Cricetulus griseus: one gene and its partner. The protein of the gene in region 2 purifies or fractionates together with the protein of the main gene of each other region. This does not show direct contact. Links are inferred from orthologs where the notes say so. Each region holds a gene or a part of one and is shown on either strand. Other genes may lie near its edges.

Region 1 (4,557 bases), on a different chromosome or scaffold from region 2:
TAATAAAAACATTTTCCGGGAATGGAGAACTCTGGACAAAAAGGTACTTAGCATCCTTTGTCTTTCTAAAGTGGAGAAGTAGAGAATGGCTTCACTTACAAAGAAGGAAAAGGACTCCCCGGTGAGATGGCCATGCTACAGCATACCTGGGCTTCCAGTGCTATTGCACAGGTCCTTTTGTCCTTGGCAAATTTGCTTGTCCGTGAAAGAGGTAATACTTTCCCAGGCATTAATACCTCCAGGACAGGTGACATCTTGTGGTAGTATCCTGAAGAGAACACGTGTGATCATAAATGCACAGCCAAAGAGGTTAGGGTTAGCTCAGTAGTAGAACAAACATTCATCGACATATAAGGCATGGGTTCATGGGTACCCAACACACATGCACACAGATACCCATGTGCATACAAACTCACTCATGCACATATGCACACACACACAACAGCAATAGCAGCTTCGATTTTGCTGAGCACTTAATAATTAACACCTATGACTCTCTCTTCCCCACTACTCACAGAGTCTGGAGCTGGGTAAAGCCACGGAAAATGTTGGTCAAACCATCCTTGAGAGGATTTGCTTGAAGGTCTCTGCAAAGTACACACTGTTAGTACTCTGTTGAGAAAAGCATGATATTTACCTTTATACATGATTTCCTGGCCTATTAATCTAATCCCTATCCTCAGTTGTATAGGTTTAGACACTAATGTTAAGAGTTATCTCCAAAGACTTTCCCATCACCATATTAGGAAAGTACCTAACCACTTACATGATAAGAGCAGTAGAAGCCTGAAAAAACTTTGGACCAGGATCCTTCAGGGAACAGTTCTGGAGATCTAGCCTGAAGGAACAAAGTGATTAATGTAACTATGTCTCTTTTCCATCCCTGGCAAGGTTAGTATTTGTGCACATACCCCATGGAACATCATTGTGTTCAGAACTATAAGAGAAGTGTGATGGTAGACATTGTAATCATGTATTATCCAATCTAGTTAGCCCTAGCTACATGTAGACATTTTAATTTACCTAAAATTCAAGAGTATTCTCACAAGTGGTTCCTGTGCTGATTAGTACTGATATGGAACATTTATATCATCAACAGAAATTTCTATTGGATCACACAGTTCTGGCCAGTAAGGCTATGCACTGTGCAAATATTGGAAGAAACTTTGTGTTATTTTTCTCCAGGATTAGTAGCTCTAATCCTGTGATTCTCAGACTCAGAGGTTTTTGTTGTTGCTGCTGGGGATTAAACACAGCCCTTGTATGTTTGAGGCAAGCACTCTGTCACCAAGCAACAATCACAGCCACCACTCTACAGAGACTTGTTTTGTTTTGAGACAGGGTCTCACTCTGCAGCTCAGGCTGGTCTAACCTGTGACAGTCCTCCAGCCTCAGCCTCTCAAATGCCAGGTTAAAGAGAAGAACCACAGTGTCCAGCATCCCCACTGAAATGATTTCTTTTTGAGACAAGATCTCAGTATAACCCAAGCTAGTCTTAAATTCCCTAAGTAACTAAGGGTGACTGTGGGTTTCTCTGTGTAACCCTGGCTGGCTTTGAACTCACAGAGACCTGACTGCCTCTGCCTCCCAGGTGCTGGGATTAAAGGAATGAACCACCACTGCCCAGCCTATGTCCTCCCCAGTGCTGAAATTACAAAGACCAGGCTCAGCCACAGAGGTTTTAATGAAAGAAAAAACAAAATAAAACAACGAAAATAAGCAAATCAGCTGGGCATCTAGGAAAAAAACCCAAAAGATCTTTTACCTATGGAATAAAAATTTACATCGAATTTAAACGTTTTAGAATTAACATTGGATGCCTCCAGTTAGGTGCCAATATTTATCCCCAAAGTCAGTTAGGCGAGCCTGTAGACTCCAGTCTGGGAACTTATTTTGAGTATCCAAGGATGTCTTCTCTTCCCTCACCCCAAGATGGTGCCCTTCTGACTCAGGCAGCATCGGGCTTGCATTATTGCCGCCGATGCATTCTCACAGTAAACAGCTACCCTGGACGTATTTTGCACGCCTCCCGGACAGTGGGTACATATCTGCAGAAGAGAAAGAAACCTTAAGACTCCAGAAAGAAAAAAGAACAAACAAGAATCAATAGTTAGCTGTCGGTCCTCCCTCCAGAGGACTATAACACAGAGCAGAGAGCTGGCTTTTATAAATAGAACCCATTTCTTCCCCTACAACCGGGCACCAAATCAGCGCCCTGTGCAAGTCCTTCCCGAGAGCAGGTCCTCATCTGTGAGAATCATTACTTGACCCTATTATGTCCTCTCCAGAGACTTCTCCGCCTGACAGGCATGGTTTGGCAAGTGTTAGAGGGCTGCATGCAGGTCTCAGAGTGCTCCAGCATCACAGAATACAGTCCTGCCAATGCACACGCACAGTATCCGTGCAAGGACAGACAGCTGGCCGAGGGGCCGGGGGACTCTGGTAAAGTTACTCAAAAGCAAGGAGATCCAATTTCAAAGGTCTCTGAATGTGGGCAAGGCAAAGGTGCCAGTGGCCGGCACTACGTGAGCACTCGAGAGAGAGCACGATTCCCGCTGGGACAGGGCTAGGGAATCCTCAGGGAGGGAGAAATCTGGGCTTGGGGCTGGGACAGCCACCGGCGGGCGAGCTCGACGCCAGGCTGACGATCAGCAGCCTTCTTCAGACATATCTCAGACTTTCTCCTGTACCTCAGGTAGAGCCAGAGCCCTTTCCATGCCCACAACCAGGAGCAGGGCAGCAGCCCAAGGCACCGGGTTCACAGAACTGCCTGGCTCGCGCGACGCCATTTTCCACTCCTTTCGACCTTCTTGACAGCTCGCGAGAGCCAAGCGCGAGGCCCCGCCCCCACGCGTCACTCGAGGCGGGACCTAGTCTCCCAAATCCTGTCAATCTGGGGCGTGGCCTAATCGGTCTTCGGCCGGCGCCGCGGGGCGTGGCCTAATCTGCCAGAGCGCCGCTGCTGCTCGCCGACTCCTGGGATCATGTCTGCGCTCCACTGTGCCTGGTCCTGGTGGGCAGACCCGCCCTCCCTCCATTCTTCCGGGAGCTCAGGCCGCCCCAGGCGCCGCTTAGTTGCTTGGAGTCTACTGCACGCTTCCTCAGCACGGTGCGGACAGCTGGGCCTCTCCATCCGCCCTCAGTAAACATGGCGGCACTGCGATCAGGGCGGGCAAGGGGGTGGGGTCCCGCTGTCACCAAGCCGGGCGCTGCTCCGGCCCGGCTGGCCCGCAGGCCAGCTACCCACGTGGAGGAGGTCTCGCAGGTGGGCCGGGCCGGGATGGGGTGGGATGGAATGGGATGGGGCGGGGATTGGGCAGCAGCAGAGAGGCCGAATTCAGCCTCCTCGGGGCGGGACAGGCGGAGCTGGGAGGGGCGGGGCGGGGAGCGGGGTGAGCCTCTCGGCGTGGGCTGGGGAAGAAGGTCTTAAATACTAGCGCAGAGTGTGGTGGGTTCGCCACGTGTGGAGAGAAGGGGAAAGCTGGATCGAGAGAGGGTATGGGTGATGGAGGGGCGAAGATCGGAGGGCGAAGGGCAGACGCAGGCAGGGAGGACACGAGTCTGGGAACCTTCACCTTAATGTTGCGTAGTGTTCGGGAGCCCGGGCAAGGTGTTGAAGCGGCAAAGACGCTTCCCTAACTCGTTCATTGCCTTCCCAGGGAAAGGACAGTGCTGGTTTCGGAAAGAACGAAGGAACTTTGGTAGTCCTGGCCGAACCACTGACGCAAGGCAAGGTAGCGAGCGCTTCCGCAGGAGTCGCAGGAGTCCTATCTGGGAGGGCGCTGGGAGAGACCCGTCACACCTAAGGACAGCTATTGCTTTTGGTGAGGACACCACCTGAAAAGGTCACCAAAGACAATTGGAGTTCATTTCAGGTAACCTCCTTGTGTTTCCTGCCCACATGGTCAAGTACCTCCCTGGAAGTCCTGAATTTACATTTGCTAATACATTTAGCTGCTGGAGTATTTTGTTTTAGTGAGAAAACTGAGGAATTTTAAACCCAAGACATAATGGTGGCGGTTGACCCTGCAGGTGTTCCTTTAGATTTCAGAGGAGGAAGAGGATTTAGCCCTGTGGCCCAGTAAAGAAACCCACAACCCTTCAGTACTTTCACTGCAGTTAAAATATCTAGTGCAGTGTGTGATGACAGGGTTTCTAAGAGGGGACCCTACTTAGCTTGGCTTTCTTTTGGCTCCTCTGAGATAGACATGTCCATTGGTGTGAATCAGTGGGGTTTTTAGAAAGCCATTGTTCTTTTCCTAGAACTGGGTTGTGTGAAATGAAGACTGTGTTACTGGATTGGCGTTTTCCTGTCTGCTTAGCTCTTTGTTTCTTCATACTAGGGAATTCTTGCTGCCTAATGAAAATAATTTATCAGGAAAACCCCAGAAGTAGAGTCAGTACCTGGACCTGCCACCCTCATGTTTTCATTTTGAGACATGGCCTCACCATGTAGCTCTGGTTGGCCTGGAACTCATAAAGATCCACCTACCTCTGCCTCCTGTGTAGCCCTGACTATTCTGACTCACTTTGTAGACCAGCCTGACCTCCAACTCA
Region 2 (4,537 bases):
TAACCCCAGCACTTAGGATGCAGAGGTGAGCAGATCTCTGTGTGTTTGAGGTCAGCCTGGTCTACAGAGCAAATACTAGGCCTGTCAGGGCTTCACAGTAAGACCTCTCTATCTTTAGGAAAAAAAAGTTTTCATGAACAGGATACTGCAGCACACTGCCCCAGCTATGAGGGAGGTGGAGATTAAGACTGCTTGAGCACCCAGGAGTTCAAGGTCAGCATCATAACAAGACTTCATTTCAAAACATTAAATACACTGGGCATGGAGATAACACAAAATATTGTCAGTCCCAGCTACTCAAAGCCGACAATGCAGTTAAAATGTCAAGACCTGTCTGGACTACAAAGTGCAGTAACAGATGACAGCCTGGGCAACACTGGGATCCTGTCTCTAAACAAAAATAAAATAGAGCTAAATATACTTCAGTGGCAGAGCACTTGCCTAACATACATTTGCAAGGCCCTGGGTTCAAGACCCAGCATCAATAAATAAATAAAAAGTTTCTATTCCCATCTCTGCTTCTTTAATGATTTACATGTTTACTATGAACTCCATAAAAAAAAAAAAAAAAAAAAAATGTTTTCCTCTGTCCTAAATCCACAGTTGTATCCCCAGGACCCTTCCCACCCCAAAAAAAGACTTTGTCAATTTTTTTTTTTTTTTTTTTGAGACAGGGTTTTTCTGTATAACAGTCTTGGCTGTCCTGGAACTAGCTCTGTACACCAGGCTGGACTTTAACTCACAGAGATCCACCTCTGCCTCCGGAATGCATCAATGATTTATTTCTTTGGCTGAATACCTACAAGACACCAGCACCCCATAGGGTCTTTGCATATATAATCATAGTCAGCCCTCCAGGTAGTGTTCAGATGAGAAACAGATATCAGAAAGTAATCTCTCTTGAGAGACAAAATATACATTCAAACCCAGACCTAACTAGATTCCATATTATATTGTGAAAGTGGGAAAGTTAAAAGAGAAAACACCCCAGTCTTGGTAAAACATAATTAGAATTACCACAGCTAAAACTCACTGGTATGTAGTTGAGGGTAGGAAAAGTCCAACTTACAAACCAACGCGGTTCCCTTTCACCCTCAAATGTGTAGAACTGGCAATCATCTGACTCACAAGGATTTGGTTTTTACTTGTACAAAGTAAAATGATTATGTGTACTCACAGTACTGGTAGGTAGAAAGGCACTAGACGGTTGTTGAGTTTGGCCATTTCACAATACTGTGTGTGCTATCACTTACGGACAATGCTCAACTCTTACATGGTATCTTTCTGATCTCTCATCATCTAACTAGAAGCCATCTATGGGTACCATGCACATCTCTTCTCTTTTCAAAATTCAAGCCTACCTGGTGTAAACTCCTAGAAGCCCGGCAGGAAGATCCCAAGTTTGAGGCCAGCCTGGATTAGAGAGTTTGACCTTGTCTCAAAAACAGACAGAGTGCACATTCGTTTGAGAGCCTGCCTTAAAAGCAGGGTCTAGTCCCCTGCAGAGAGCTTGACCGGCACACATGACACCTGCCATGGTGGTACACACTAGCAATCCTAGCACTCCAGAGATGGGAAGATCAGAAGTTCAGGGTCATCTTCAGTTACACAGGGATATGACGGTGACCTGGACTACAAGACACCTGTCAAAACACACACAATCATACACACACAATCACACACACACAATCTCACACACACACATACACGCACACAATTACACACACATACACGTGTACACACACACACACACACACACACACACACACACACACACACACACGCACACACACACACCCCAAACCTAGTAATTCTTTTTTCTTAAAACCGCCTCATTACCACAGATGTTTAAGAACCTGGCTATCTGTTTCAGGGTTCCTAAAACCACATCCTTTTATACCAAGATTCCTGTGACCACATTCTCCCTATTTTCTATTTCTGGATACGTTTCAGAGACAACTTCTTTCTCCTCCCTCCTCCAGACAAAGCAGTCACCATGTCAATGGTCACTGAGATGGCATGTCATCCTCACTGATGAACAGGCACTCATCCAGAACCTCAGACAACGAACACTGAACTTGCTCCTGAAAGCCGGAGAGCGACCACACATTGCTCTGACACCAGAGTTCAAGTCCATTTAGTTCACTTCTTTGAGGCTCCATTCCTCACTAAGGAGTAAATGAAACGATTTACTGGATTTCTAGGGTAGAGTCTGTCATACAGCAAACATCTGGCAAGAAGGAATGGCGAAGAAACAGTCCAACCATCAAAGCAGCGAAGGCGCTCTTTTTGTCGGCGATTATTTCGTAAACACAGAAACGTGTGTGAGGAGACCAAGCAATGCTTAGAAGAAGGCTGGCAATTACGAGCTTGTTTTTTGCTCGCCCTGGCAACTAGGCTTCCGGTAAACGTTTCGGTAAGTTATCACAGCATGGCCTAAATATTTCAGGAAACAGTAAAACTTAAGTGGACGACACATCCCCATTGTCCCTGTCAAAATTGACAACAGGCCACACACTCTGCAAAGGAGAAGGGCCAAGAAATGACGAATAAGCAACAGCTGAACTCAACTGGGGTCCTCCTGATGGAAAACAAAAGCCGAGTTTCTCCCTCCTGACCTCGCTGCACCCTACGGAAAGCCTCCCACCCGCCTGAAGCGCGGCCGTCCCTTGGGCTTCGTTTTTCTCCGGTTCGAGCATCCCATCATCCAAGGCCAAGGGACCGGCGGGTGGTGCGCGGGCCGGGCCGGGCCGGGCCACCTTCCCTCCCGGGCGTCCTCCTCCCGCCGCGGTGCACGCGACCTCAGGACCGCGCAGCAGCCGCACCCGGGACGCCGCCAGCGGCTCCGGGGGGCTCCGCGGCTCGGTCCAGCCGTGCCCGCGCCGCCACACCCACCAGCTGCCCCCGCCCCGCCCCAGCCGGCCAGGGCCCCGAGCCCCGGGACGCACGCAGGCTCGCACCTGAGACCCGCCGCCTTAGCACCAGCTCCGCTCCGCTCCGCGCCGCCCGCCGCCCCGCCGCCACCTCACCGGGCGCGGTGTGGCCACAGCTTCCGGGAGCTCACGTGACCGAGTGTGCAGGGGCATGCCGGGAGTTGTAGTCCGCCAATGCCGCTTCACCTGCCGCGGTGGATGGAGCCTGCAGGTCAGGTTTACCTTGGCTGAAAAGGGCAATGAGTGAAAGATACAATTTGAGAGGAACTGGTAGGCTGACCAATTTTTTTTTTTTCCAAAAAGAGGCTTTTTCTCTGCTTTAGATTTTTGTATAATTAAAGGCAGTTGTCCTTCTAGGTAGGAACATTTCACCTATCAGTACTTGCAGCACTACAGCCTATCACCACCCCACCAAAATAAATCATGCATGTTACGATTCCCAGCAGCAGGGCAGGAGAGATGATTAAATACATAAATCGGTTCATTTTTTTAAAATGGGGCTGGAGAGATGGCTCAGCAGTTAAGAGCACTGGCTGTTTGGTCTCTGGGAGACTCAGGTTCGGTCCCCACATGGTCCCCACGGTGGCTCACGACCACTCGTAACTCCAGGGCCAGAGGACTCGACGCCCTCTTCTGGCTCCCGTGGGCACTGCACACAGGTGGCATCACTCACACATAGATAAACACATACATACAAATAGAAAGGAGAAGAGGAAGAGACCAAGGAGGAAGATGCCCCTGCCGCCACCAGATCTCCTTCTGCAGAGTTGTTCAAGACCAGGTAATAGGAAGAACACGTCCTGAGTAGGGCAGTGGTGGTGTGCGCCTTTGGTCCCAGTGAGTTCTGGGGTCCCAGCCGGGGCTACACAATGAGCTCCAGGACAGGCTCCAAAGCTACAGAGAGACCCTGTCTCAAAGAAAGAAAGAAAAAAAGAAAGAGAGAGAGAGAGGGAGAGAGGAGGAGGAGGGAGGGAGGGAGGGAGGAAGAGGAAAAGAATGCTTCTTTATACTTTCAGCCCTCAGAGCAGGAATCCAAAAATCATGATAAACACAAAACATGAAGCTAAGCAGGCTCCAGAAACACCTCCATGTGTTCAGTTCATATGGGTCACTCTAGGGTGATTTTTAGCCTTTGTGGCCACAGGGGAACCAGTCAGCTTCTAGTGAACCCACTGACTGTAGTTTTGCAAAAGACTTTTTTTTTTTTATTGTTAAACAATTTACACCTTAGCATGTCAATTTCAACACACCAAAACCTCTTATCTGAAGCTCCCCAAAGGGACACATGCCAAAGCAATTCCCAGTCACAGGACATCTCAGTCTTCTAAGTCCTTCCACAACCAAGTTTTGCATAGACTTTGAACCTTTAGGAAACTCTCAGATAAGATTTATATACTTCAAACAGAAAGTACTGGACACAAAGGGTAGCAGTCACAAAAGGCAGATCCAGGCCCAGGTGTTAACACCCCGGGAATCAAACCAGCTGCAAAGCTTTACAGGAACTCCCGCCACAGTGGTCAATATGGTAAACATTGCTTACAGGGGCACTCCTGGACCTGGTTCATTTCACAGTCTTCTGGCATTGGTGAAGTCGGCCAAGCTTC

The links.
Region 1: the proteins of Slc37a3 (region 2) and Atraid purify together in Homo sapiens (affinity purification with mass spectrometry; 3 studies listed by BioGRID and IntAct, counting the BioPlex papers as one, with this or other methods). This does not show direct contact. The link is inferred for Cricetulus griseus from reciprocal best matches to the Homo sapiens genes SLC37A3 and ATRAID.

The regions. Positions count from the first base shown.
Region 1 is NC_048600.1:13,333,216-13,337,772, forward strand, and holds the start of Atraid (all-trans retinoic acid-induced differentiation factor), read right to left. Parts: upstream 2,846-4,557; 5' UTR 2,790-2,845; coding exon 2,691-2,789; intron 2,049-2,690; coding exon 1,927-2,048; intron 839-1,926; coding exon 767-838; intron 588-766; coding exon 516-587; intron 269-515; coding exon 147-268; intron 1-146. UniProt on the Homo sapiens protein: Promotes osteoblast cell differentiation and terminal mineralization. Plays a role in inducing the cell cycle arrest via inhibiting CCND1 expression in all-trans-retinoic acid (ATRA) signal pathway.
Region 2 is NW_023276806.1:188,772,527-188,777,063, reverse strand, and holds the start of Slc37a3 (sugar phosphate exchanger 3), read right to left. Parts: upstream 3,052-4,537; 5' UTR 2,961-3,051; intron 1-2,960. UniProt on the Homo sapiens protein: Unlike the other SLC37 members, lacks glucose-6-phosphate antiporter activity.